Pelodiscus sinensis: one gene and its partners. The protein of the gene in region 1 interacts with the protein of each later gene in a pairwise test. Links are inferred from orthologs where the notes say so. Each region holds a gene or a part of one and is shown in the gene's direction. Other genes may lie near its edges. The genes, in order: LNX2, MYLIP, C8H10orf88 and SRSF11.

Evidence for each region.
Region 2: the proteins of LNX2 (region 1) and MYLIP interact in binary tests that used the Homo sapiens proteins (3 or more experiments, as listed by UniProt). The link is inferred for Pelodiscus sinensis from reciprocal best matches to the Homo sapiens genes LNX2 and MYLIP.
Region 3: the proteins of LNX2 (region 1) and C8H10orf88 interact in binary tests that used the Homo sapiens proteins (3 or more experiments, as listed by UniProt). The link is inferred for Pelodiscus sinensis from reciprocal best matches to the Homo sapiens genes LNX2 and C10orf88.
Region 4: the proteins of LNX2 (region 1) and SRSF11 interact in a two-hybrid assay, tested with the Homo sapiens proteins (3 studies listed by BioGRID and IntAct). The link is inferred for Pelodiscus sinensis from reciprocal best matches to the Homo sapiens genes LNX2 and SRSF11.

What each region holds. Positions count from the first base shown.
Region 1 is NC_134711.1:300,348,387-300,355,403, forward strand, and holds the start of LNX2 (ligand of Numb protein X 2), read left to right. Parts: upstream 1-4,006; 5' UTR 4,007-5,173; intron 5,174-5,199; exon of another isoform or gene 5,200-5,350; intron 5,351-7,017. Other genes in the region: protein POLR1D, read right to left, coding at 3,673-3,698.
Region 2 is NC_134712.1:107,408,073-107,415,848, forward strand, and holds the start of MYLIP (E3 ubiquitin-protein ligase MYLIP), read left to right. Parts: upstream 1-4,764; 5' UTR 4,765-4,868; coding exon 4,869-4,970; intron 4,971-5,576; exon of another isoform or gene 5,577-5,591; coding exon of another isoform or gene 5,592-5,597; intron 5,598-6,412; coding exon 6,413-6,603; intron 6,604-7,776. UniProt on the Homo sapiens protein: E3 ubiquitin-protein ligase that mediates ubiquitination and subsequent proteasomal degradation of myosin regulatory light chain (MRLC), LDLR, VLDLR and LRP8. Activity depends on E2 enzymes of the UBE2D family.
Region 3 is NC_134718.1:55,985,587-55,993,474, forward strand, and holds the start of C8H10orf88 (ATPase PAAT), read left to right. Parts: upstream 1-4,885; 5' UTR 4,886-5,040; coding exon 5,041-5,243; intron 5,244-6,332; coding exon 6,333-6,536; intron 6,537-7,380; coding exon 7,381-7,450; intron 7,451-7,888. Other genes in the region: disintegrin and metalloproteinase domain-containing protein 9-like, read right to left, coding at 43-112. UniProt on the Homo sapiens protein: ATPase that regulates mitochondrial ABC transporters ABCB7, ABCB8/MITOSUR and ABCB10. Regulates mitochondrial ferric concentration and heme biosynthesis and plays a role in the maintenance of mitochondrial homeostasis and cell survival.
Region 4 is NC_134719.1:20,888,712-20,895,746, forward strand, and holds the start of SRSF11 (serine/arginine-rich splicing factor 11), read left to right. Parts: upstream 1-4,027; 5' UTR 4,028-4,331; coding exon 4,332-4,459; intron 4,460-7,035. UniProt on the Homo sapiens protein: May function in pre-mRNA splicing.

The sequences.
Region 1 (7,017 bases):
GAGGAAACTGCCAGGCTCTGACTTCCAGCTGAAAAGATTTGAAATTGGGGGGGAGGGGGCAGGTTATGGGGATTCAATCAAACACTTGCCATAGGCAGTGGCAAAGATGAATGGGAAATCTTAGTTTATTTACAGCTTGAGGGTATTTATAGTCACTGCTTATTTACTGCTTTAAATCTCAGACTCTGCATGGGTCTCATGACAAGAGCTACCCAATACAGTATCCATTATTCCTGGTAAATTAAAATCTTCAGAGGGGTAGCCAAGTTCATGTTAAAGCAAGAAAAAAAAAAATACAGAACATAGAACAAAGTGAGTTAGAGCCAGGATAAAAAGAGGATAAAAGTGAATAAAACTGGTACAGTAATACGAATCAGAACACAGTACAGTGATACTCAGTAGGGATATTGCAGCTGTGGGGGTCTGAGCTCCCCATGGATAGAGGCTGCAGGCGGGAAGGGGTAGGAAACGGGGGAGGCTGTCATGAAGCAGCCTCTGCCCGCGTTGGCCAGGGCTGTAGCGGCCAGCCTGAACCACTCTGGACAGGGGCTGCTCTAGATCTAGGAAGTGTCCATAACAGACATTAAATGTACAATTTTAAGAATACACTATTTTAAGTCCAGAAGGACCATGGATGTTTCTGGACCAGGGAGCCCCAGAGGCCAGGAGCACAAGCCCAGCTGGGAGTCCAGGGGAGTTCTGGGGAGCCCTGGTCCTGCGGTAGGTGGGGAGTCCAGCCCTGGGGAGCCCCAGTGGTGGCTGGGAGGAATCCCTGGCCCTAGCTGGGAGCCCCAGCACCAGCAAAGCTGGCGCTGGCCAGGGGGAATCCCCAGCTAGGGGGAATCCCCAGCCAGGAACCTCTGTGGCAGCAGAGCTGGTGCTAGCTGGGAGGAATCCCAAGCCAGGAATCCTGGTGGCAGTGGTGCCAGCAGCGGCCGGGGAGAATCCCTGGCCTTGGCTGGGAACCCCAATAGAAGTATGACTGGCGGCAGCTGGAGAGCCACAGCCTGAGGAGGTTGACCCCAGGAGCTACAGCAGGGGGCCAGCAATTGGGAAGGAAGCCCAGGCTGCAGGGACCCCACAACCCAGAGAGGAGCCTTGGCCTCTCCTGGTCTGGCAAACTCCCTGGTTCAGGACCACTCAGGTCCTGAGAGTGCCGGACAATGGAAGTCCAACCTGTACCTAAAAACAGCTCAAATAAATATTTTAAAAACTCTCTACAAATCCCTAAAATAGCTTTTCTGTAACTGAGGCACATGTAGAAGTTATGATGGTCTAGTTTAGATTTACTACAGCAATTAATGTGGTCACTACATTTTTCCAATAAAATCTTGACACAACGACATATGCTTATTTAGTCTGATATTTCAGACGTGCCATACTAGCTGTTTTTTTAACATCATAGGGGACAAGTGTTTTACTGAAGAATTATGGAGATAAATAGATCATTACATTCTCTTAGGCCCAATTATCACTTCACTTCAGCCAACACAATATTATCTTTGTCTCATCTACGCTATCAGTTGGAGGCAGAAAGGGGAGGCAACAAGTTATTTTTGTAAATGAAACCACAGAGTTAGGACTTTCTAACTGGGTGAGAGATACACTGGAAAAGCAGTGAGAGAAGCTTTCATTGCCGCTATCATTGTTAGACATATTGCTAACAGGTAATCTCACATGAGAATCTGTTACACATGGGTTAGTTGTAGTGTTGACAAGTCATACTGCAGAACTGTTATTTCAGTCATTACTCTCATACAATTCCACAACAAACACCAACAAGATTTACCAATAACGTAAGTGCTTCTGGTCCATTTCCAAACCAGAAAGTAAAACACAGGTCTGTTATGTCTGAATAATCAACTAAATGAACCTGGATTTAAACTGAAAGTTTTTCCTTTTCTTATACCCAAAAGAAAACAATGTAGCACTTGAGGTTTCATCACCTATTAAACCATCTTGTTAGTCTTTAAAGTGCTACATAGTTTTTCCTTTTGTTTTAGCAAGATCAGACTAACACAGCTACCTCTCTATTACTATTCTTTTGGGTATGACATGGGTCAATTTGCGTAGCAGAATGAATGATCTCATTCCAACAGAATGCAAAGTGTCTGTCATTTTATTCTCCCTGAAAGTTGTTACTGTCAATGTAAACACAAGTTTACTATAATAATTACAGTCAGAGATTAGGCTTTGTTTCAATTAACAAAACAGGGCTTATTAATTTTGCAACTTCCACAGTTATCTGGCTGCAGCCGTAACAGGTACTGGCATGCAACCCAAGTTTATTAAAGTGAAAATAGAAAATCGCCTGTTTTTCTTCATTTAATAAGGGTGGGGGGTAATTTAATTTATACAAGTATGCCTTTCCTTAACAAAATAAGGTTTGAAAAAAGTTGAGTTTTTATTTTATTCTGAAGACACCGAGGTTCAGTCTTCCCAGAAGCAAATTCCACAGTCATGGGCCAGGTTTCCAACGAGTCTTCTGAGCGCACTAGTCTCACTTCTAACGTTGGCAATTATATTGTTCCAGGAGATCATAATCAAATCATGGGATTCAGTGAGGCAATGAAGTAATTTGAGCCAATCCTATAGAGGATTTCAGAATTCAACTGGAAGTCAGCAGTATCTTCACTACACCTATTTTTTCTCACCAATAATCTGAGTTCCCTGTGATAAGATACTCTTCTGATTACATCCACTTGGGAATCAGATTACTGTCTTGGGACAGGGGAATGATATTGCAACAGGTAGAGGAAGGGCTCCTATAACTGGAACAGCAGCCTCTGCAATCCTAGAATACTTGCAGTACATGGAATGAGCTAGTCTTAATTTTTTTTTTTTTTTTTGGTAATATACATTGTATGGTTCAACACCAATCTAAGACAGGTAAAAGTAAAATATATTTGATGTAATAGGAATAGAAAACCAATTCTATTTCTCAAACTGAAGTCAAAGGTCTCCTGTGTGTAAGTCTGTGTACTGTAAACTGGGAACCCTGTTCTCCCAAATATTCCAAACCATGATGTCTTGATGTTTAGGTAAGTGAAACCAGAAGCATCCACTTAAATGAAGCCACCCCTTTTTTAAATAAACTTTTATTATATGGCATGTAATGTTATAAAGTGGAAAATTTAAACACTTTCATCAGCACCAATGAACAACAAACAGACAATAAACAATGAACAGACAATAGGATCCACTTCTCTTGTAAAGGCTCTCTAATGGTCCCGAAGCACTACAAATATTACCTGTTGAAGCAGATAATTTATATCATGCCCCACAACAGATCCAGCAGACGGGCTCTAAATCAGGAAGATTAGCTTGGCCTCTGCCAGTCTAAGGAGGGAACCGACATAACTAATGGGCCTCTTACTGAGTCCAGCACTAGCCCTTCCTGGGGCTGCGTCCCCCAGAGGCCTGGCACAAGAGTGATCATCCCACCAGGGAGTTGTCAAGGGGCGCGTACAGAAGTAAACTTTCAAAACTGAAGAGGGATCTGCCTAGATAAGGCGCCCCCCACCCTTCTAACTCTTCATCCCTGCATTGACCTCTGCCCCCATCTCCCGGTGCTGAAGTGGGCCGGGGAAGGGAACAACTGCGCCAGGCAGGCGCGGCAGCTCACAGCGGGCCCTGTCTCGGTGCCCGGGAACACGCGCCCCGGCCTCTCACCTCTCCAGCTCCAGGTCCTCTTCCATGGCGGCGGCAGGAAGAAGGGCGATGCGACGCCGCCCCCGCTAGGCCACCGACACCGGCGCAGTAGTAGCTCAGGTGCAGGCCCGACCCGTTTACTGCTCGCGGCTGAGGACAGGGAGGAGCGAGGGGCGGAGCTGCGGGGCGAGCGCTGCGAGGACCCCGGGAGGGGCGGAGCAAGCCGGAGCTAGAAAGGAAGCGGGCGGCGCGTACTCTTAAGTGCTGCCGCCGCCTCACCCTCCCTGCCCTAGCGGTGCCCGGAACCTCCGCTCCTACAGGAGCGGGCAGCGATTTCGTGTCCCACCCACCCTCCGCCAGACCTAGCTCCTGGTGCTGCCCCAGGTGCTGGAAGTGGGTGCTCGGGTCCCCCGTGGCCTCGCCGACCCCAGTTCTTCCCACTGGGGAGGCGTGAGGAGGCCGCGCTACGCCGGGTGCCCATTGGCTCTGCCCACCCCCTTTGGTGTGTGTTGGTTCCCCTCTGGAGATGTGGAGTAGGCTGGGGATTGCTGCGTGTTTAGGCTCTTCCGCTCCAAACACCGGCGCAGAGGGGTTTGCTGAGTTATGTGTCCCAGAGCGAAATCCCAACAGTTAACTCAAAACCTCCATCCCCAGAGCAGGCGCCTCTCTCTTGCCCCCCAGTCTGTGCACAGTGATGCTACAGAGGCTGCCAGCTGATCACGCGGGTATCCCCACGGGGGGCGGCAGCAGGCTGGTGAGTGGGATTGCAGTGACTCACTTGCCACTGACCAAGCAGTGAGAATGCACCCGATGCATAAACACGATGCAACCGCCGGGCTGTAAAGGGGAATTGCAACTGCGGCTTCGCCTGGCATGTAACCCAGCACACAGGGGCGCCCTGCGAAGAAAGCTAAGCGTAGTTCCCAGCAGCGAGGCCTGTAGCTAGTCGCAGCTCTCTGGGGTAAGGTAGGATGGGGCGACTGCAAAGAGAAACAAGCCCTCCCTTTCAGGTATCTAGCGCTCCTGCTTGTCCTTTCGCTCTCCCCCCTCACTCAGTCCTCTCCCATGCGCTACCTCCCGTTATCAAGCGACCCGCCTCTACGTCTCTCCTGCCCTCACACTCCTTTGCCCCGCTGCCCCAGGGCGCGCCTGCTGGAATCAGGCGAGCGGCGGGGACAGCCCAGCGCCCGACCGTCGTCGCCGGGTCCCGCCCCGGCCCAGCTCCCATAGGCTGCGGTGCTTCCTCCGCTCCCCCTCCCCGGCCCCCGGCTGGCGGCTGAGTGGCTGGGCCGCGCCGTCACTCGGGCCGCGGTGCGGCCCGGCGGAGGAGGCGGCCCGCCCAGGTGAGGCGCGCGGCGAAGTCCTTGCCCGGAGTTGGCCGTTTGACTCTTGCCAGGAGCTCGGCGGTGACAGCGGGAGGCGGAGCTGCCGGGCGGGGGCAGGGAGCCAGCCCCCGGCCGCGGGATGAGCTGGACCCGGGCGCCGTGCTGAGCCGGGGCTGGAGGCGGCGGCAGCCGGTGGGGTGAGTAAGTTCGCTGCTAGGCGCCGCCGTTCCCGGTGGTTCGCCAGGCGCCCCGCTTCTTCTCTGCGGGCTGGCTGGTGCCGACACCTCCACCCCCGTGTGCTCGTGTTAACTGGCAGCTACGCTAGGCTCACCTCAGACCGGGGGAGTAACAGGCTGAGCTCAGGACAACAGAAAGTGAGTGTCCCTCAGATCGGAAGGCAGGGAAACAGTCTCTTCCCCAGCTCTGTTTCGTAAGGGGCTGTGTGCGAGGGAGGGTCCTCGCCCCTCTCTCGGGTACAGGGGACGTTTGGGGGGGGGAGAATGTGTGGAAGGATTGTTGATGATGATGATGATGATGACTACTCTCTCCTCTACGTGGGTACAATTCTCCCAGTCCCCACTCAGTGGCAGATGGGAGGAGGGTGTTGATAGTAATAGCTCCTCACCCATCTCCCATTGTGTTTCCCCTCTCCCTGGAAAACCATTGTGTGTGTATGTATGTATGTATGTTATAGTAGTAGTGCCCTAAGGTTCTAGTCAGGTTTAGGGCCGCATTGTGCAAACACATAAAATGATACAGTACCTGAAATCTGATTTGTTTGGGTGTACTCCTGTCCCCACATAGTACTGTACTAAAAGTACATGCATTTATAGAGGCTAATAATAGGCATACCTGAGAAGTTCTGAATTAGTTTAAAGTTTTCTTCTTTATTTATGTAAAGAAAAGTATCCACAATCTACATTAGTTCTCAATTGAATTAAAGATTGGGTGTGGAAAAATAGTGATTTTTTCCCCCTGCTACTCCCCATAGTTGTCTCAGCCCATTCTCCATGTTAGAAACTAGTAGGTTGGGTGAGTCTGTCCCTTACTGGGAGACAAACTGGGTGAGAAAATACCTTTTATTGGACCAACTGCTGTTGGTGAGAAACTAGAGACAAGCTTCAAGCTTACACAGAGCTCTTTTTTAGGTCTGGGATATTTACTCAGAGTGTTAAGATATGTTTATGGTGATTTTCCTTTGTGTTTCTTCAAATTATGACAGACTGCATATCCCATCACTCTCACTGGGAGATGGTGAATTCCCCCATGTTTCATACCTTTCACAGTGAGAAGATTTAGCTAAATCCTGCATTGCAAGCAGAGGCTGCCTAAATATGTCTGTTGCCCATCAGCTTGACTATGTACACATTCAAATTTTTATTTGAATATAAATAATCCATTATTACCTTTGGGGAAATCAAAACAAAAGCAATAAAACCTACATATTCTGAGGCTAGAAAGAAGCAAAGACAGTGTCATCATTGCAAATGCATAATGAAAGAAGGGAGGTTACCTTGCCTCCTGTTCTTGGCTGTTGCCATTTCTTATGCTGTAGAGAAGTGAGTTTTCTTCCTAGTGCTCCCCTGCAGTACTGAACACACCGAAAGAGGGAAAAAATTGATATTTTCTGTATGAAAGTGCACACTAGGTGTCTTCCAAGAACTACAACAATTCTCTTATCAAACCTGAATTGTCATTATGTGCTAAAGACTGTACTTAACCCTAAATTACACGTGCTAAAACTGATGTGTTTTTTGCTTATGTGCAGAAGCAGAGGTGATGTGTGGGAAGGCACTAGGGGGCATCTGCCCCCCAAATGCCATGGGTGGGACGGGCAGGGGGCCAGATAGCAGCCAGTGGGGCCAGAATCCCTAGGCATCCTTCACCAGCAGAGTGATGGGGCAAGGGGAGCAGAGTGAGCTGGGGCCACATTGCTCCACTTCCTCCACTGCTGTTGAGTGCATGGGGGCCTTTCCCTGGTTCTACACCAGGCTGCATCGGTTGGGGGAAGAGGCAGGGCAAGGTATGAAGGGGGGTTTCC
Region 2 (7,776 bases), on another chromosome or scaffold:
ATGAGGGCGGGGGACCGGACTTGATGACCTCTTGAGGTCTCTTCCAGTTCTATTTTATTCTATTCTATTATTCTAAAAGTGGAGTAAAATGCACTTATATACTCTAATCTCTTTATTAGATGCTATTTGTAATAATAGTGCATTAAAAAGAGGATGCTAATTGTGTTCCTTTAAAATTTAAGAAATACAGTACAAGTAATTATAAAATTAATATTGGATAGCTGACCACACAAACATCACAGATATTTTGTGATATGGGAGAAAACTGATCATCTCCGATCTATCTCATTTACTGTGTAAATGTCAAATATTAAATGTGTCGTCAGAATCAGGTCTGTTGTTCAATACATATTGGTCAGCCATGATCATAGAAAGTTTTTAATAGTCAACTGCTTGTATTGTGCATCCTATTTTTATTATTTTTTCAACTTAATGCCCTTTGTTCCTGGTTTTTCTAAATGGTATTTTTAGTTTCCCAGGAAGATGAAGGTAAATGCTGTGATATGTCTAAAAATAAATTTTGGTGTGCTTAAGTATCAAAATACCAGTAGTCATGGCTTGAGGATTAGAGATTTGACTTATCAAATGATGTTAAACTTACATTAGTGAGGGCTAACATTAAGAAAGATTTTTGTCATCTGGATAATAATGGCTGCTAAGATGAAATCCAAAAGCATTAGCTCAGCATTTCTAGAGCATGAAAGAACATTTTAAAGACATGAAAATAATCAATGATTATTCTATTTTGAGAACACTAAGGAATGTGAAATGCTCAGAAATTAAATTGGTGACCTGGAAAACAAGCTCAGATTAAAAGGTGGCATGCTTTTCAGAATTCCTGAAGATGCAGCAGCAAGAGGAGAACATGTTTTTCTGCAAGGAACTTTAAAAAGGTGAAGATGACATAAGAGGAGCAGATTCTACATGCAGAAATAGACTGTATATCACATCATCTGCAAGAATTTTGCAGTAATCAATTCTGGTACAGGCATGTACACCTCTCTCCTACGAGGTGTAGCTGAATTCTGCATCTACCTTGCTCAGTATATGGGTAAAATAACTAGAAAAGATCGTGAAATGAAATGTATTTCAATGCTGTTAGGGTAGAAATTACACCCATTTAAAGAAATACTTGGGTATTTTTTACACAATGCTTGATTAACCTATGCATCCTATTGCTATATGATATTACTGAGGCTAAAAGCTTAACATGATTAAGAAAAGGCTTAGAAAGGATTAGAAATTAATGTATTAGAGCTGTTAGGTACATAAAATAGAGTACAAAGAAAGGGAGGGGAAAAAAACTAAGGGATATAAATATTGACAAAAATTGTCAGCTGTTTGGAGCAAGTATCTTTTTGTTGTTGTTTTTTCTGTATGTGTACAGTATCTACCACATGTACCCTTGATATCAGTCTTGAATCTCCATGTGTAATCATAATACAAATAGTAATAAATGTTCATGCTTCAGATATAAATACATCCCTTCCAAATTCTTGGTTCATTTCGGTCAATTTCACTGTTGTAGGATTTTTTTAAATAATATATTTCATTATTGCAGCTATTTAAATATAAAATTTCACTGTGTTGTAATTGAAGAAGTTGTGACCCAAAAAAGAGTTGTGTGACAAGTAAGGTTGACAATTTTCTAATTGCACTGAATGTCTCTACCCCATCGCTTCTCCAAGCCCCTACTCATTGACTCTGCCCCTTCTCTTTATTGTTCTCTCTCTCCAACCCTCACTCATTTTCACAAGGCTGGGGTATGGGGTTGAGAGGTGGGGGATGTGAGTGCTCCACTTGGGAGTCGGTCGCTAAAGTGGGGCTGAGGATATTGAATTTGGTTTGCAGGAGGAGGCTCAGCATTGCGGCAGGGGCATGCAGGGTGCATATGGGGTCTGAACTCTGGGAGGGAGTTGGGGTGTGAGAGAGGATTCCAGGCTGGGGCAGGGCTGGGGTTCAGCAGGGGATTCAGGGTGCAGGCAGTACTTACCATGGTTCCCAGGAAGCAGTCACTAGGTCTCCGCAGCCCCTAGGTACATGGGGGCCAGGGAGGTTCTGTGTACTGTCCCTTGTGCCCACAAGTACCACTCCCCCAGCTCCCATTTGTCACAATTACCAGTCAATGGGAACTGTGGAGCCAGCACTCGGGGTAGGGGCAGTGTGCAAAGCCTCCCTGACTTCCCAGGCACCTAGGGGCTCCAGGGATCAGGCACTCGCTTCCAAGACCTGTAGAGAGTCAGGGCAGGTAGGGAGCAAAACTCCTCCTATAGATTTTTACAAAATGAATCCTGGAACTAACATGTAGTTTGCAAGCCTGTTCACTCCGTTTGCATTTTGTAGTCCTTTCCCTCGTCCTACATATGTCTTATATATTTAAACATTTCAAGGCAGGCAGGGATTGTGTATTACTCTGTGCAGTGGTCAATGGGGACCTGTTCTAGGATAGCTTCCAAGAATTACTGTAATACAAATTAATAATAATGGTCAGACTCTATACTGATGGATGGAGAACAAATACTCGGATAGACAGAAGCAGATGAGCCATGAAGATTAAACTGCAGCAAGAACATTAATGTCCATCCATGTGGTGACATTCCACCAGTTAGTTTCTTCTTTTTCCTTTTAACCTGAGGAATTTTTTCCAGAATCCCATTTTTCCTCTCTCAACTTTTACTCTTATCAGTCTGCCTATTCCTGTTCACTATGTGCTGCCTATTATTCACCTGCAGCACATCTATGTTATATGGAAGCTCGGTGCTCCAGAGGTTGATTTTCGGATGTCCGATGTAGCAGATCAAGTATGGACCCATACATTGAACGCTGAGAGCAGCTCCAGCTGACATCTGGTAGTCTCCTTTTGTGATGAGTAAGGGAAGTAGATGGGAGAGTTTACTCCCATCAGCCTCCCGTTGTGTGGATGGTTCAGAAATGCGATATAAGATACGTCGACTCCAGCTATCTAATTAACACAGCTGGAGTTGCATATCTCATTTCAACCTTCCGCTTTAGTATAGACCAAGCCCTGGAGTGCTACCTCTTTCTGGGGCCTCCCCTGTCTGCTGATATGTTCCTTACTTTCATACTGGTTTATACTACTCCCTACATAAGTGAAAGTAGCTAGAGACTATTTTATTTCATACATGTTCTGTGCCTTTCTCATACTTCTAGGTAATTATCCAATGTAGGTGTTTTTCCTCTGGCTAGCTCACACTATTACAATAGTTCATATTTCCTGAGTTCCAGGAGGAGACCAGCCCACCTTCCTTTCTGCCCTGATGCAGCAATACAGTGCATGGAGGTTGGTGAACTTTAGTCTGTGACCACTTTTGCACACAGTTGCTCCATCTCCTGTGCCATGTTCTCAGTACAACAGATGGGATAATCAGGAACAAAGGTGGAAATAGGAGATAACAGTGTTAATCTTAATATTGGTATCTCAAATTATTTTCTATTCACAGCATGAGTTGAGTCAGCTAAGCCTAGAAATAAGATATTAAAATGCATGTTATAATTGTATATTGTACTCTGAAATGAATAATTCTGAGACCGTCCTTACTGTTGGCTTTTGCCTCAACTCCTCAATCATAGGAGGAGTAAGAGGGAACAATTGTACCAAGGCCTCAAGCTCAGGAGTCCAAGTGAGAGCATCTGTGTAAATGAAGCAAAATGAGAGGGAATGGGGCAACAGCAAACATGATGCACTACTGTCCAAAATTTCTGTTGCTGGGCCTGCCACTACATCCAGCCTGGTCACTTTGCACAGCATGAATGTTGCCAGACGCCTGTCAGTGCAGCCACATCTCCAGACCCACTGGCTACATCTAGACTGGCATGATTTTCCGCAAATGCTTTTAACGGAAAAGTTTTTTTGCTTTTGCGGAAAAGCGTCCGTGCCAATCTAGACGCGGTGTTGCGCAAGAAAGCCCCATCGCCATTTTCGCAATCGGGGTTTTTTTGCGCCAACAATACTGCGTTGTCTACACTGGCCCTTTTGCGCAAAAGCATTTGCGCAAGAGAGCTTTTGCCCGAACGGGAGCAACATAGCATTTCCGCAAGATCACTGACAATCTTACATGAGATCGTCAGTGTTCTTGCCGAAATTCAAGCGGCCAGTGTCAGTGCCAGTCTAGACACAGCCATCAGCAGAGATTCTCAATTCTATAGCAGATTTTGAGTTAATTTGGGGAAATTCCTGTTTAGTCCAGAATGGAAGTGTCACAAAGGCTGTTATTCATGAACAGCTATTCCAGAGCATCACCTGGGGGGAAGACAAGCTTTTAGGTGATGTCTACATTAAGACCTCTGTGCCAGCACAGCTGTCAGCACAGCCAGGTAGGCTGCCACACGGGCGTTTTCTGTCGGCTAGGAAGGCCACCACGCTGAGCAATATTTGCTCTGGCGTCTGCCGCTCGCATCCACTGAGCCAGCTGCTCCCTGCTAGAAGAGATGTAGGGCAGCCTGGCTCTGTGCATCCTCACCTTCAGCGCCTGTCTTTGGTGGGCCCGGGCAGCCCCTCCCCACGTAGAGCGCAGCACCCCTCCCCCCCGTGCTTCTCGCCGTGACCCAGCAGGGGGAGGCAGAGAGCAGCAATAACAAACCGGGGCTCCCCTGCCACCGCGGCCGCAAGAGAACCTCACTCTGATTGGCGACGGCGGCTGTTTGTCGCGAGCAGCGGCGCGTTGCGATTGGCTGGCTGTTGCCGGCCGGGTGCGGAGGCGGGGAGACGGAGGGGATATATGGGGGTGCGAGCGGCCGCCGGCCGGAGCGCAGCAGGCACTGGAGAGGGGGCGGCGGCAGCGGCGGCGGCGGCTAGACGATCACGAGTGGCCCGGGGGCCGCAGCGGGCGGGGTGCGCGAGGCGGTGGATGCCTGCCCTAGCCATGCTGTGCTATGTGACCAGGCCGGACGCGGTGGTGATGGAGGTGGAGGTGGAGGCCAAAGCCAACGGCGAGGACTGTCTCAACCAGGTGAGGCGCCGCCCCGGGAATACCGCCGCCGCGCGCGCGCGCCTCCCCGACGGCCGTTGAAGCCGGGTCCGTTGCAGAGAAGGCGACCGGCGGCCCCTCCCCTTCGCGAAACGGCGGGTGGGGGGCGGGCGAGGCTGCCTCGCGCGCCCTTAACTAACGTTCCCTCGCGCGCCCGCAGCCCTCCGCAGGGCGGCCCCCGCGCGCGCGGTGTCTGTGTCGGGCGGGGGGGGAGCGGGGTCAGTCACCCAGCTCCTCCGCCTTGGCCGCAGAGGCTGCTCGCTCTCCCCCGCGGACGGACCCCGCGGGCTGGGGAGAGGCCCCAGCGCCCCCTTCCCCAGGCGGAGGGGTGAAGTGCCGGGGCCCTGCGGGGCGGGGGCAGGATCCAGGCTTCTGCCACCCCGCCCCCCGCTCCCCTTCCCCTCCCCCCGCTCCCCTCCTGGCACCCCAACCCGTCGCCTAAATATTAGACACGTGGCCCGGAGAGGCGTCCTGCGCCCCCCCCCCCCCTGAACTGGCCGACTGCTCTGCTGACTCCGTGTGGGCCCAGTCGGGCCTGGCTCCCTCCACCTAAGCAAGTTTTCAGAGGCGCCCTTGGTTTCCTGGGTGGAGAGGGGGCTGCTGATGCACGTGAGAAACGCTGTGCTGGGTCAGACCTATGGGCCACCGAGCCCCATATCCTGTTTTCAGGCAGTGACCAGTTGCCAGGTGCTACAGAGGGAATGGACAGGGCAGTAGTTAAAAGTTCCCTGCCATCCAGTTGTAGCATCTGGCAGTCAAGGGCTGCTAGGGGACACCTGGTCTCTGATGGAGTTGTATCTCTGACTCCTTTGGAAAATAGCCACATTAATAGAGCAATCTGTGGTGAACTTGCCTTTTTTTGTTGTTGAACCCGGTTGGCCTTCACACCATTCCTTGGCAGTGATTTTCACAAGTTGATTATGCCTTGTGTGAGGAAATACTTTCTCTTTGTTTTTAAAGCAGCTACCTTTTAGTTTTGTTGGGTAACCTCTGCTGCTTGGGTTGGGTAAATAACACTTCTGTACTTCACCTCACCAATCGTGATTTTATAGATCTGTCATCTCACTGCTTAAACATCTGTTTTCTAAATTCAGCATCATGGAGAATCAGGTCACTCTTGCTTAGGTGCCCAAGTTTGGTGGGGAGGGGGAACAGTGATAACTCTGATGCCTCCTTTTTGTATTGTCATTTCATATACATGTCTGTAGGTTGCCAGCTGGTCAGCTTCTTGAATATTTTGCTTAGTTTTGATGATTTCTTACTGGCAAGTGAATCAGTAAGATGAGTTTATTATTAGAGTGTTTGGGTTTTGTAGCAGGTGTACTGAGCAGTTTTTAAAAAGTTACTCTCCTGTGTTTGGGTGATGGTTTTGGCATTATGTATGTTATAGATCCACTTTTACAATACTTCCATTTTTGTTACAGGTTTGCAGGAGGTTGGGGATTATAGAAGTGGATTACTTTGGGCTTCAGTTCGCAGGCAGTAAAGGGGAGAGTTTATGGCTGAATTTGAGAAATAGGATCTCCCAGCAGATGGATGGATTAGCTCCTTACCGGTTGAAACTGCGTGTCAAGTTTTTTGTAGAACCACATCTTATCTTGCAAGAACAGACAAGGTAAGATTAGTTTTGAGTGAATTTCATTTTACGTTTTCATGGTCTGTAATTTAATACTGTAAGGTAGCTGTATGTTGTCTCTACCAATCATTTAGTACTTTTTATATCCAGCTTTCTTGCTTTTCAGCTGTATAGTTAGCTTGCTGTGAAAATGGTAACATCATTTTAAACAGTTCTCACTCTCTTTTGGAGATTGAAGAAGAATAGTGCTACTCTAACTTACTCATAATATGAGAGCTCAGAACAGCATAATTAATTCCATACATATTTAATGCTACAAGTGAAAGAGAAAATACAAGAGCTAGCATGTGATATTTATATTGAGTTACATGCCCGATAGTAACCTCTCTCTTCAGCGTGTTACTGCAGGTCATTCTCAACTGCTTATGCAGGAAGTGTTTTCTACCACAATGCTTAAACTTGCTAAACTCCTCTTAGTCTAGTGTCAGGTTACAGCAATTTCCAGCAGCTATATATTCTCTCTTAAGCTACAAAAGGAACAACTGTTTTGTCTCTTCTGTAAAAGACCTACTAACCAAGCACAATAACTAAATTGATGATAAGTTTTAGAAAAATGCATAATTACCAATTTTTTGAGTTTCAAACTCCAGCAACAAATAGTAATGAACCCCTTATTGATTTTAATTTGCACTAGAAAATGTCTCACACATCTTCAGTGGATAAGTCAATAATTTTCTTCCTTTTGAACTAGTAATCTAAAACATTTGTATATACCAGTCAGCTATATAGGTTCTGGTGTTAGATGGGGATCATTAACTGGTGAAATCTGTCTGAAAACAAATACAAAATTATGATATTCCATTACCTTAATGTGTTCAAATTTATTGTGACCACACACATCCCAGGATTGTCAGGTATTTCATTCTTCATTTTACTAGCTAATTAATTTGTGCTTTGTGGTTAACATTCTGATCCGAATGCTTATTACATAGCAGAATCACATATTTAGCATGTACTTTTTAAACTCCTTATGATGTATGAAGATGTGACTTCTTTGTTGTTGTTTTTAAAAAAATGTGCTTTGTGATAGAATTTCAGATTCTTTCTGCCTTGGAGATTTTTAGCCATTCAGAGAGATTTAGTGAAACTGCCTTTGCACAGCAGTGCAAATACTACTTATAGGTTGAACCTCTCTAGTCTGCACTCATCCAT
Region 3 (7,888 bases), on another chromosome or scaffold:
CTTGTAACATCTTTCTGACTAAAAATTAAAACTGAAGCTCACCTGCTGTATGAACTTGCTTTCCAATAAATATTAGCCCGAAACCAAACCAAAGTAAGTTGCATTTTAACATAGTTAAGTTTATCTGAGAAAACACAACTACTAAGATGTTCAGAAACACGGTGTTACTGAGGATGGCGTTTTTACCAGCAGTTTCCCCTAAATGAAGGAACTAGAAAAACAAGAACCTTTTGTTGTCAAGGCAAACAATAAATAGCATTGAAAAAGTACTTCAGGTATGTCAGCAAACACTCCCAAAGAAGAGGGAAGTCAAATTTCTCACATTGCATTTGACAAAAACTGGTTGGACAACTTACAACAAACCCAGTATAACATGATTGTAAACGCTGATTGGAGAAGGCCAGCTGTGATTCCCTTCGTAAGGATGACAAGACGAAACTTTGAGACCAAAGTCCAGAATTCAGAGACCAGCAACAATTTACTTTCGAACGTTCACAGGAAAACAAAGCACCATATAAGCTAAGTTATAGAGTTCATATGAACCACCTTAAAAAATGCATCTTATAATAAGATTATAAGACAAATGCAGATTACTTGGGTTCAGTTTGTAATTGTTCTTTATTTTTTACTGTAAGATATTTATTTCAGAAAAATATAAAAATATTGTATCTTTGAATACACAGGTATCACAAACATTGACCAGAAATGCAACAGAATGTAATTACAATGATGCTATAGTTAACAATAAACTTTGGCATCATAAATCATATTTTGAGTCAACCGTTAACGTTCCCAAAAGCAAAATGATCTTGATGACTTTTTATATGCACATTTTAGTCCTAAGTAAAAAAAAAAAGAAAAAGTTTTTATTTCAATTTAGATGAACTGTACAAATCATTTTGGAAAATTATGCAGAACAGTCTTCTTTCCTTTCTTTACTGAGATAAAGTGGTACTTTTGTTATGCAATTTTTCTAGGAATTCTGAAATTCATTTTTTCCATATACTGATAGAGCACAGACACATTCTCTGAATACCCATGTAAACAAGGACTTCATACAAACCAGGAAGACACCTATTGCATTTGTGATTTATGAATTTGTTCTTATTAGGGGTTTTAGAGATTTTTTTCTCTTTACCGATATCTATGTTTCTTCAGCAGACGCCTTTAGTGGCAGGGTATTTTAAAGTCTCTTACAAGCTCCCACCTTTTATGCTTGAAGTGCTAGAAAGGGGAACAGCCTTAACAGCTGCTGCAGCTCTGTCCCTGCTGTGGGGCAGCAGTACCACCAGGCTGCTGAGGACCTGGCCCCACTACTACCAGCCCTGCCATGCATGGGGCTCTTAGCTGTTGGCCCTCCTTTCCTGGAGAGTCCCAGTTTAGGGTGGTGAAACCTGTAGTTGCAACGAGTTATTTCAGAAATAGTTCATAGGTTATAAATCCAATGACCATGTTCATGGTGAATCCAGGATAGGACTGGAGATCTCAGAATTTAGGGCTTAAGCTTCAAGCAGATCTGAGATCATAAGAAATCTGGATCCCAGACGTTCTTATAGTTCTTGGTCTTCTTTGACAGCTCAGAAAAACAATAGGCAATTATTGAGATTTTTAAATAGACCTGTTTCCTAAGTATCACCCATGATAGCTGTGAGAATTAACATAAGGCATTTGCCAGTTTTCCACCATTTGCTGTACATTTAAAAAAAAGATGATGAATTCAGAGATATTATTATGCTTACAGTTCACTTAAATGTTAATATTTCCTTTTGATCTCTGAACCAATAACTGTAGGGACAGACAGGAACAATCTGTTTATATGGCTAACAGATAACAAGATATAAGTACATATATACAATTAGTATCACCTCAATTCTCAAAGAATATATATTACACTTCAAAGTTCTAGCCTAATTACCAGGGGATGGACCTAATTACCATTTACACACTTTTCAAATATGTCTCTACAGATTGACTCTGGGTCATTTAGCCTGCAGGATACCTATTGTTTGTATAAAATTCATTGCAATTATATAACAGCAGTAGCAACAATAATTTGCTTTGTCAAATTACATAATGACACAATCAGAGCCTCAGGGCATGTCTACACAGCAGGGCTACTGTTGAACTAAGCAACACAACTTCAGCTACGCCAATTGTGTAGCTAAAGTTGAAATAGCTTAATTCGGCTTTTGGCGCTGTCTACACAGCAGGAAGTCAAAGGAAGAACACTCTTCCTTCAACTTCCTTTAGTCTTCATGAAATGAAGGTTACAGGAGTCAGAGTAAGAAGACCTCCGGCTCAACATTATTTTAAAATAAAGTGTAGATGTGCTTGTAGTGTAGACTTGTTCTTTGTTATTTCGGAATAACGTCAGTTTTTCCAAAATAATGCTGCTGTGTAGACACAGCCTTAGAGAGCAAAGATTTGATGCTAGGCTCCTGAAGTAGAGGGAGGTTTTAATACTGACTTCAGCTGAAGATAGAATAGTCCCTATATGAGGAAGGATCCTAAAGATAAAAAAATATATATAAGGACATATGAAAGGCCATGGTGGGTCAGACTAATGCTCCATATAACCTAGTATCCTCTCTTCCAACAGTGACCAATGCCAGATGCTTTGGATGGAAACAGCAGAACAGGCAATTATTGAGCGATCAATCCTGCCCTTGACTCCCAGGCTTAGGCCACTCAGAGCATAGGGCTGTGTCCCTGACCATTTTGGTTAATAATCACTATTACGTGCACACCCAGTAAACAACTGTAGTGTAACTAGTGTAGGGAATCCTGTGCCAAGTGAGTCTCACCAGGGACCTAGACCTTGGAGGGTCCCTGGATTCCCTCAGCTGGAGCTATGTCCACTGTGGCCTGGTGCGAGGTGACAAGGAACAGGACTTCCCGCAGACTGAAGGGGAGTAAGCATTTCTAAGTGCCTGTTGCTCGCTTATGCATTGCTCTGCCTGTGCTTATTGATGTGTCACTTTGTAGTAGCTGTGTAACCATAGGGCAACATTAACCCTGTTATAGTAGTGACATAGTGAGATTAATAAAAGCAACTATCCCTAATCGATTCTGTGTGAAGCGAATCCATATTCCTGTTTGGCCATGCCCCTGCAAGCTGACAGTCCCCAGCCCTGCCCCTTCTGTCCCAGGCCCAAACCCTTCCAGGGTGGAGCTGGCCCATGACCACATAACAAAATTCACTAAGTGCCCCCCCTCACTAAAATTATTGCCCACCTCTGGGCTAGGGACACCATCCCCGACCGTCCTAATAGTCACTGAAGAGCCTATTCTCCATGAATGTATCTAGTTCTTTTTTGAACCCTGTGATAGATTTAGCTTTCACATGCTGCTGCAAAGAGTTCCACAGGTTGATGGTTCTTTGTGTGAAACACTGCCTGCTGTTTTTTGAAAACTGTTGCCTATTAATTTTATTGGATAACCTCTAGTTCTTGTGTTATATAAAAAGGTAAATAATGCTTCCTTATATACTTTTTCCATACCAGGTATGATTTATGGATCTCTGCATATCCTCTCCCCCTCTTTTAATATCTTAATACAGCCAGTCCTCGAGTTGCGAACGGTCGACTTACGACAGTTCACAGTTACGACCAAAAGTGTCGTAAATGGCAGACCCCAAGTTATGAACACGATCCGCGCTTATGAACAGCGCGGTCACATGTAAATCAATGGGGTCCGATTTACGAACAAACCAAGTTACGACCAATTGCTTGGTCCGTAATCGGTCTGTTAGTTGGAGACAGACTGTAATCCCAATCTTTTTAATCTTTCCACCTATGTAAACTGTTCCATACCCTTAATTACTTTAGTGGCCCTTCTCTGTACCTTTTCTAATGCCAATATACCTTTTTTGAGTGAAGGCAAACAGAACTGCAGAGATATGCAAGGTATGTACAAAAATCTTTCAAGGTGCAAGGCTTAAGCATTACAATCATTATGTCCTCCCTCTTCCCAAGGTCTGTGCCTATGCCCAGTGAGGGAGCATATAGCCTCCCCCCAAAGAAAACCTGGGCTGAGGCCATGTTGTTAGTATTATGGGGACTTTCACAGAATGGAGCTCAGGGTTGTAAGGTTTCCACCCAACAGCTCTTCTGACCTAGTAATCCCAAACCCTGTATTTAAAGTCCTTCTGAACTGCATAGCCATGCAAACACTCAGCACCAATCTATTCCAGTCAGGAGGGATAGGAACTCCTCTGTCAGGCTGAGGCCCTAGGAGAGACACTTCTCCCACCCCAGTCGAGGTGTTGCTGCAGAGCCAGAAAGCAGAGTCCTCCCTTTCCATCGCATCCCCGAGACAGCCTGCACCCAACCCCCTCATCCCCAGCATCACCCCAAAGCCAACCCCCTCTTCCAGCTGGAGTCACCCTCAACCCTTTGCCCCAAACCTGAGCTCCTCGTTCCCTGACTATCTACTAGCCCACACCCACCCAACTGAAGCCCTTTCGCGGCGCCCCCCCAAAACCCTCTGCCCCAGTTGAGCCCCTTCCCCCAATCCAATCCCTGAGCTCCGCCCCAGCCACATGACTTTTGTTATGTGCACCAATAGGGAAGTGAGGAGCCACGCACCGTCTCCCTATTGGTGCACATGTCAGAATTCTTTTCCCCACAGGGAGGGGGGGGGGAAATTAGAGGATACTCTGCCCAGGAGGGTGCAGCTGCCAGCCACTCGCTACCCGCAGCTACTTCCCCCAGGGCGCTTCACACCCCACCGCCACTCACTCGCGCGCACCAGCCAGGTGCGGAAGCGAGCTCTACCGCCGCTCTGAGCACGCGCCGCTCTACTCCTACCAGCCAATCGGGAGCAGGGGGAAAGTGCGCCTGCGCCCCTGGGCTGGACGCCTTCGATGGGGAAGAACTGGAGGGTTCCGAGCCAATCAACGGCCGGGCGCGCACGCCTCATGACCGTTGAAAGGCGGGCGTTCCGGCCGGAACGGTGCCCGGCCGGGAGCATGTTCTCTGTGGAAAGCCGTTCTGCCCGGCGGCCCGCAGGGGACGGTTGGCAGCCAGCGGGGCGGTTGCGATGGCGAGCGGGAGCCTGGCGGGCGCTGAGGCAGCTGACGATGGTCTCCGCGCCGCCAATGGCCCCGTCCGCCGCTCTCGCGTGGCAGCCGGCTGCTCCTGGGAGTGCGCGTCCGCCTCGTCTCCCGAGGCGCTGGAGGACATCCTCTGCCTCCTTCCCGAGGGAGCCAGCGGCGGTGAGGCGCTGTCGCCGCCCGAAAGCGGGTAAGGGGCGCCCGGAAACGCCGCGGGACTCACAGCCTGCGAGGAAAGGAGGCTCGATCCCGGGCGAGGGCGCGAGTCTGAACCCCTCCTCCCCGCGGAGTCCCCAGTAGCCTCGTCTTGGGTGCGGTGGGCCCCGGCTGGGCCGGTTTCTGACGCCTGCCCCCTGGCTGCGGGGCGCTGCTGAGGCGGGAGGCAGACACCTGTGCGCGCAGTGAGGGGTCGCTGTGTCCCCGCAGGTGTAGCTTGGCCCCTCGCGGGGGCTGCAGCCCTTCCCTCAGCGCAAGAGGCAAATGCCTCTGCTGCTGTTTGAGTGAGCTGTCTCCTTTAATGGAAAGAGACATAACGAGACCGGATTACATGGTAATCGGAGCATGGCCTGTGTGAACTGGAGCATCAGGGGCACTGAGGAGTGGATTTCAAGGTCGGCCTGTCCCTGTGTATAACTAAATATATTGATAGCACACGTGTACTGGTCTCTTCCCCCCTCCCTCCCCCGACATTGACAACAGTATTAAGTGAGCAAAACTTTCTTTAGCTGTGGCACAGCCTTTGATTTTTCACTGCAAACTAGGTCCACAGCAAGTTTGAAGTTTGTGAAATGTGCACTGTAAACATAACACAGAGTCTGTACGTGTTGCGTGTTCTTCATCAAGGATAGGGCTTTGAAAGTAAAGTGGTAAATACTGCACTTACAAAGATATAGATTATGTAACTGCTCTTAAAAACTGAGTCACTTTACATCGGGGGTGGAACCTCAGGCCTGGGCCGGATTTGGCCCCTGACTTGACTGGTTCTGGCCTCTAAGACAGACACGCTAGCCTTCCCTCCCGCAACCCCGCCCCACCAAGGTGCTGGCCCACACGTCTACTAGGGTAGGCCTGGTAGGCTGTGGTGTGCAGGGGAATGTGGGGAGAGTCTTTCTCCTCTGTCAGGGGCCACATCAGGGAGGATTTGGTTTGGTTTTTTTAATTATTTTTCTGTGAGTCAGCAAGAAGAGTTCTAAATTAAAAACAAACGAGTGTTAGCTGGAAAGCCCAGGTTAAATAGAATGTAATTAAGTTACTTAAACATAATTTCTTCTATTTCTAGTGAGAACTCTGTGGTTTTGGAGAGACCTTTAAATGATGAAACTGAAACTCCCTGCTTACTGTATCTGCAGTGTGATCCTCATGGATCGGAGGAAATAGTCTATGTTGGAATTTTAAGTGGGGCAAGAAACATGGAAGTATATGTAGGAGAAGAATATTATGGAACTGGTAGGGGACAGAATGTCTGCACCATTCAGAATGAGAGGTAAGGGTCTTCATTTTGCTTTATTAAAACCACTTGAAAAGGAAACTATCTGGTTGGAGTGGGGGCTGGTGATGAGTTATATTGCTCTTAGACTTGATTTAAATGTAGTCTCGGAATCTTAAAGGCCAAAACCTATTATCTGTTCGGTATTCGTCTCAGTTTGAGGTTTTTAGTGGTCAGATATCCGCATCACAAAAACTACCAGTACAGTTTGTGCTACCTTAACAGTCTCAGCAGAGTCCAAGGATTGAGTGGGCATAGAAACTGCACTTCTCACTCCTCAGGTGAGCCCTGCCTGTCATTGTTGAGTCATATTATAATTAAGGCTGTCAGCTACTGTTATCAGTGAGTTAAATTATTTAACTCAGCAGTAATCTCTAAAAATCATCTAGGAACACCTTTTTAAAGTTCTTTTGTATATGACTGCAAAGAGGAATGAAAACAAATGTCAATATTCTTATTACGTAATCTACAAGAATTTGCCTATGGAGTTTGGAGGGGAAAAAATAAAAGGGGGTAAACTTTGATTGCAGTACATAAACATTTGGCCAGCTATGTTTTTGCTAACTTAAGAACCAGCTAGTCAGTTAAGCCAAAACTAGAAGAAAATCCTATTGGTACCATGTGTGGGGGGAAAAAAGGAACAATGTGTACTTGTGTGTATGTATATCATATGATTAAATCTGAACTGAATTTTAATGTTAAAACCCAACATATTCCATTGAAAGCTAATGCATTCAACTTCTTCCTCCCCCATTATCAGCGTAATAGCTATTATTTTTGTGTTCCTGTAGCTAGCATTTACCATAGACGTCACAGCTCATTTATTTTATTTTTCTAACAGAAATGATAAGATTACTTTATACAAAAAATATCTTAAATTGGAGTACTCCACCACTTCTTGCAGAATTAAGGTAGGAAATTCCAAAAAATTGTTTTAAATTGACCAATGGGTTATTTTGCATTACTGTCTGACAGTCAGAAGATGATAGCTAAGTTTTTGCTAACCTGAGATGTGGTGTGAATATTCTCTTTAAAAAGTAGGAGGATTTTGAACCAAGGTTCTCTTGTCTTAAAATGTTGTTGTTAAAGTTTGTGCAAGAGGGAGGGAAAATGCTCTTAACTCACTTTTTAATTAGAGGTATTCTAAAGGTTTAACAATTTGTGCACAATGAGAATTTTAGGTGTTGATGCTACAAACATGCACATTTGTAACTCTACGTATGTGAGTAGTCTCATTGTAATCATTTGGACTACCCACATGCATAAAGCTTAAGCATGTGCTTAAGTGTTGGCAAGATAAGAGCTTGTTTAATCTGGTTCAGTCTTTCAATATGAGTATTATTCAGAAT
Region 4 (7,035 bases), on another chromosome or scaffold:
GAAAAAACAGTTTCTTGCCATTTTAACCAGAAAGGACACTCTCTCAATGACTTAACCACCTGCATTCTGCTACAAAGACCTTTTACATCTGCACTTGAAAGGGAATCCTCTGAACTGTCATTCATGTTAAAATTCGACACTCTCCGAGAAGGAATGAACAAATGCTCAAACTATCTTACCCATTACCAAGATAGCTTCCCCAATTATCACCTCTAATACCATTAGCTCACAGACATCCCACTCTCCCCACCTCTAATATCATCAATTCACAGACACTTACCTTCCTTCCTCCCCCTCCTCCTCCGCATCCCCCTCCTGTTCTGAAATGTGATTTGTCCTTTTCATATGTGTTCATTTTTTTAATTGTATTCTTTGGTATATATGGTTGTGACTATTTTCTTCCACTATTTGATCTGAGGAAGAGGGTCTGGCCCACGAAAGCTCATCATCTAATAAACCATCTTGTTAGTCTTGAAAGTGCTACATTGTCCTGCACTTTGCTTATAAGGCCTGTGACTCAGGGAGGCAGCACTCACCACAACCTCTCAGTGAAGTCACAGGGAAAAGAAAAAGAGCATCCAAAGCACCCTGAGTGCCCAGTATTTATGGACTATCATTGCCTAGTGATATCTTCCCATTCTGTTCCCTGGTCAAGGAAGAAGTCTGTCCAAAATGGAGGTTCACCTGTTGTTTTAAACACAAACAAAATGGCAAACCCATGCCCAAACAGTTTAAATATCCCAACTGAGTTAATAGTTCCTTTGTAACATATAAAGGAACCAATATTAACAGCTGCGCATTTCCCCAGACCTGCCAGCTGCCTGCTTGGCACAAATGTGCAGGTGCAAACAGACTAGGGAAGAGATGTTCAAGGAAGCAAATGCAATCTGACAACTTGGACAAGGAGCACATAAGCAAGTGGAGGAATATGCTTGCTGGAGGAACTGCACACAAAGCATCAGGCAAGGAGAGCGTTCAGGAAACGGGAAGTGAAGCACTAGGAGGGAGTGCTGTCATCCATGGCAAATGTGATGGACTGCATGGTGTCACTCCAGGACTCCTTCCTGTACAGGCACCCCTTACGGCCTTGCAGATCTATGTTCCCTCCTCCCAGAGTTCCATAGCATCCTCTATCAGAGTGCCTAGAATGTAGAGGGAGGAGAGTCAAGGGCAGCCACACGAGTCTCTCAAATTGTCAAAGTTTGAAGTAGGAATAAGATCCTCCAGAAAAGGGCGCTTTTTCCGGAGGATCGGGGCCAGTGTAGACGCTCTTTTCAGGCTTTTCTAAAAGCCGGAAAAAAGCGGCGGACATTTTTATTTAAATGCCGCGGGGGATATTTAAATCCCCCGCGCATTTCCCTACTACGATGGCTGAAATTAACATGCCCCTTCCGGAAAAGGGGCCAATGTAGACGAGCCCTGCTTGTATTGAAGGATGGGAAGGGAGTGTTACAGGCTAGCACATGGAATGCAAGGGTACCTCATTGAGAGCAACATGCATGACTCTGAAAACTGGCCATTCATAAAACTGTCTCTCTGATTTATTTGGGCATAAGATTTCATAGGCTCGATGAGCCCATTTCGTTACAAGCTAAAAAATGCAACCCCCCCCCCCCCAAAAAAAACCCAGCAGCATTCTGGGATGTATTAGAGAGGAGTATTGTAAGGAAGATACCAGAATTCTTAATTCTACCCCATGTTGATTAGGCCTGACTGAAGTATTGTGTCCAGTTCCGGGCACCACATTTCAAGAAAATATGGACAAATTTCAGAAACTCCTGAAAAGAGTAACAAAAAAAGATTAAAGGTCTAAAAAACATAACCCATTAGGGAAGATGGGGGAAAAAACTGTGTTTGTTTCGTCTGGAGAAGACTGAGGGGGAACATAATAGTTTTCAAATACATAAAAGAACGTTACAGAAGGAAGAAAAAAATATTCCTGAAACTATGCATACAGCACAAGAAGCAATGGACTAAAATTGCAGCAAGGGTGGTTTAGGTTGGACAGCAGGAAAAACTTCTTGTCAGGATGGTTAAACACTGGAATAAATTCCCTAGGAAGGTTGTAGAATCTTCATCATTTGCGATTTTTAAGCGCAGTTTAGACAGAACGGCTACGTCTAAATTGGCCCCTTCTCCGGAAGAGGCATGTTAATTTCAAACTTCAGAATAGGGAAATCCGCAGGGGATTTAAATATCCCCTGCGGGATTTAAATAAACATATTAAATAAATATTCCTGAAAGTAGGAATAAGATCCTCCGGAATAGGGCTTTATTCCGGAGGATCGGGCCAGTCTAGACGCTTTTTTCCAGCTTTTCCCCAAGCCGGAAAAAAGCGGCGGCCATGTTTATTTAAATCCCCCGCGGATTTTCCTATACTGAAGTTTGAAATTAACATGCCTCTTCCGGAGAAGGGGCCAATGTAGACGTAGCCAACATCTGTCAAGGATCTAGGTAATACTTACTCCTGTTGAGCGCTCTGGGGCCAGCAACAAGGGGTTAGGAAACATGGCCAGCAGCTGGGGCCGATGGCCAGGATTGACCTCCCCTAGTCCAACCAACTACTTTGCAACTGATCAGGTCCCAAGGGAACAGAACCAGGGAGGTCCAACCTATACTGAAGAAGCTGCTTCTCTGTCTGGATGCTTCTAGTGCATTTACTAACATAACCCCTTGATGTTAATGGATATGGGGGGGGGGGGGGGGGTTGGCAAATCTTATTTGTTACATTAACTTCACTTACAGCAAAATCAGGTTGCAGATTTATTTTGTTTTCAACATACATGTTAGAAAGGAATTACTCTGGAACTGAAAAATTAATGGGAAATTGTTATTCAGGTACTGTCGCACCCGAGATCATCTTCTGGCATTCAATTTAGTGAGTCTAGTGAAGACCTGCTAAACTGAATGCTGAGCGTGCCCTCAGTCAGCACCAGTACTCCTCAGTCGCAAGGAGTAAGAGAAGCCGATGGGAGCATTTGTTCCTGTCAACCTCCCACTGTGAAGATAGTGCCAAGCTCAGCTTAAGAAGTATGGACTCCAGCTACATTATTTAAACAGCTAGAGTTGAGTATCTTAAGCTGACCTTCAAGTCTAGTATTGACTAAAGATGTTAAGAGGCAGGTATCTGACTAATCATTTAGTTGATACAAACGGCTACATGATTAGTTGATAAGAGAAGGCACTCTGTACCAGCTCGCACTGGTCCAGGAGCTATCCCCACTGCAGCTCTGCAGTTTAAATGTAGTAGGAGCCAGGCGTGCAGGTAGCCCAGCTCATACAACATTTAAATTGCAAAGCCACAGTGAGGTTAGGACTGCAACTGGCACAAGCTAGAACTGAGCCAGGTTTGCTCAGTCTCAACTTTTGCTGGGTCCAGTAGTCCCTGCCTGTACCCAACCTGAGCCGCCACAAACAGAGGCTGCTGCCTTTCCGCGTGGGGGCAGCACCATGGAGACAATGCTGGGGGGGGGGAAACCAGCCGGCTCCTGTCCCCCTGCTGCCTCTGATATAGAGGGCAGCAAGGGGACGGGAGAGGAGGGAGTAGTTCTCTCGACTACTCTCTTACTTCCCTAGACCTGGCCTTAGGAACAGGCTTTGCCAGCTGCTGAGCTCCCTGGGTGCCCTCAGAGCCATCTGGAGAAAGGGGCGGCTCTGCGCCTGGCAGATTCAGGCCCTGGCGATTCAGAGGAAGCGCCCTGCAGCTCTAGGCCCCTAGAAGGGGGCGCTCAGGCAGGCGTCAGCTCAGAGCGCTCTAGCCGCAGGCAAGCCCCAGACTGGCCCCTCTGCCTGAATTTTCTCCGCCCCGCGAGGATTCAGTCACGAGCCCGGAGGAGGAAACAGGGATAACGGCCCTCAGGCCCAGACGCCTCTCCTGCTAAGTCCCCAGTGCAGCAGCCCATACTGCACATGCGCGGGTATTTCCATAGCCATGGCGCGAACATGTCGCATGCGCGAGAGCTGCACGACATGGTTGACTGCATGTGCAATAGCTGCAAGTCCTTGGGAGAGGTACAGGCAGTGGACATGCGCAAATGGGGCGTCTGTGGGCGAGGCGAGTTGTGCGTCTGCGCAAGATCATCGAAGTACGCGGATCGCGCTTGCGTAGAGAAGAGCAGTAAAGGATTGTGGGATACTAGTTACGGCCCGGGCAGGCTGCTGGAGCGGGCAGCTGGTGGCAGTTATTACTCCACAACGGTTGTTTTGTGCGCGAGGCCCGTGGTTGTGCCCGGACGGGTAGCGGCAGGGGACACAGCAAAACGCTACCCGGTTCCTAACGCGCTCTTCCCCTTCCCTGATGTGTTTGTAGCACTGGAGTGGGAGGCAGCGCGATGTCTTCAAGCAGCGGCACCGACGTGATCCAGGTCACCAATGTCTCTCCTAGCGCCAGCTCCGAGCAGATGCGGACACTCTTCGGCTTCCTGGGCAAGATCGAGGAGCTGCGCCTTTTTCCTCCCGAGTGAGTCCGCCAGCGGGAGCGGGCCCCTTCCTCCCCCGCGCCATACTCGCGTCCCCTCCCCCACTCAACGTCCCGCCTCTTTCCCATCCCGCCCCGCGCTTCGCTGCCGTCTGCCGAGGCACGCTGAGAGTGTCAGGCCCTGGGGCCTAGCTCGCCATCTTCAGGCCTCGGCCGGCGGTGCGGCGGGATCGGGCTTCCCCGCGGAGCTGTGATAACCCCCAGAGCCTGCCTCAGCACCTCGCTAGTGTAGACCTCCGAAAGGGAGAGTTAGCGGTGTGGGGGAGGGGGGAAGTGTCGTATCCCGCCTGTCTCACATGGCTCCTCCTCGGCCCGCAACGTGCCGGGTTACCTCACGGCCGGGCACTCGTTCCCGGAGCAATTTTCAAAGCATGTGTGAGGGAGGGCCCTGAGCCTATGGGCAGTTATCCCGGCTAAATGCACGTCCTCTTGCATCGCCGACTGCCCCGGAGCCTCCAGGTGTTGAGCTACGTGTGGTGGGATTGCTCTCTTACGGAGTCACCGCTCACCTGTTGGATAGTTTCCATTAACGAGCAGTTACTACAAAAATAGCTTTTGTTTTCCCCTTTTCACAAATTGATTTTTTTTCTCTCCCTAACACACAGAAAGTGCAAGGTGGGCAGTAAATCTTAAACCAGTTATTGGGTTAAAGTCTCGTAAAAATTAAAACCAGCAAACAGTGCTTTGCATTACTGAGAATGATGCCCCCACCCAATCTGCTTCCAATGGATTGCAGTTTTTTTTTTAAAGGGTTTCAACTATTTAGAAATGTCTAGACAGAAAAATAGAGCTTATGACAAGGTATAAGTTTTTACAAATATTTAACAAAAATATGCATATACATAATGATTATTTTAACGCACATCAGATCTGCTGAACTCACAAATTGTAATCCATGCTCAGAGAGCTTTTAAATAATTACAGTTTTTTAATTTATTGTGATACAAGAACTGAAAACAGCATGCCATCTGTTTCTGTTCCTTTTTTTTATTTGTGAAGCAGGATTGCCTTTATTTTCATATAAAAAGATTTTGACTGTGCCTGCTCATTACTCTCCCTCAGATGGTTTCTAATATACCCATTTTTTCACCTACTTTCAAATAGTTGCTGTTCGGGGGGGAGGGGGGGAAGAAAATTAACTGCAAAAGCGACTTTCCTTTGTGCCACATCTCTCTCTCCCCCCCACAAATCCTCCAGGTATCCTAGATAGATGTGTATATATTCTAACACAGGATTTTTTAGTGTGTGTGTGTGGTTTTGGCATCCTCAAATGAACACTGGCAATCTGAACCCCATTTCAATGCAATTTTGAATAAGAATTTGTAGTGTAGAGGAAAACTAGTGGATGCACAGAGATTCAAGTTGATAGGTTTTTATTATTGGAATACAGTAAAACATGAATGTTTTCATTTGTATATGGAAAATCCTATTTAAAGTGCCAGAAAAGTGTCATTTTCACCAAATAACAAGGAGCTAGTGTCTTTAGCAAGAGAAATCTGTTTAGGTTGTTAACATAGTTTTCTTCATTGTTTTGAGCATTTCACAATCATTAATTTGTATTATGTTTCGACATCTGTATGAAGTGGATGTTACCACCCCTCTACAGATGGGAAGTTAAGGCATGGAGTGGATTGAGTGACTTTCCCAAAGTCTGGTTGAACTGGGTATTGAATATATTTAACCTAGGTCTCTAAAATACCAGTGAAGTGCTTCTACGGCTTGTATGCATATAGCTTTTGGTAGTAGCTGCTTCTAGAAATAACTCCTGAAGCTTCACCTTTTTCTGCTAGAGAGTTCAACAACTCTCTTGTTTTTTGTATACCCCTATGTTGTTCTTAATTCGTCCCCACTTATTAACACAGGCACCCACATTCAATACAAGAATACTTTGTCAAAGCCTATATAATTGGTTGTGATAAGTATGAGAAACAGAATCATCATGTCTCTATCAGAGGTAAAAAAAAAATCTGCCCAGGATAGAGCAGTATTGGTAGGGTGCATGCATTCTTACTAAAGAAATGCAAAATTTCAAAATCATATATTTGCACTTGACTACAGTAGGAGACGCGTATAATCTCTTTAGTTTGGCACTCTGTCTCAATGGTACTTTGTCCATTTTAAGGTGGATTTTTGTTAGAGTACACACCAGAAATGGATTTTAAGTTACACATTACACACAGATAGACTTTGAAAGAATATTCATTAAGACCACAAAGTAAGCACTTCTTTAATGAAGGATACTCTTCTCTGTAGTACTCCAGCTTTATAGAGTGACTGAGAGATGGGTTTGTAGGAATAGAAGTACTGGTAACACCCAACTTTTCTCTCCAACCCCTGATTAATCACCAGAACAGAGCCATACTATGCACTGAATGAGGCAGGGCTTTTGAGGATAAAATAGGATATGGTTGTGTAATTAAAATAAATAAGCTAAGTTACGGTTACACAAGTAACTTTAATACTAACATTTCCCAATTTCTTATTGCATGAATTAAAGTTGTAACCTTGGTATTCTTTTAACTTGGTGTGTAGTTTCTAGGTATTTCAAAGAGCAATCT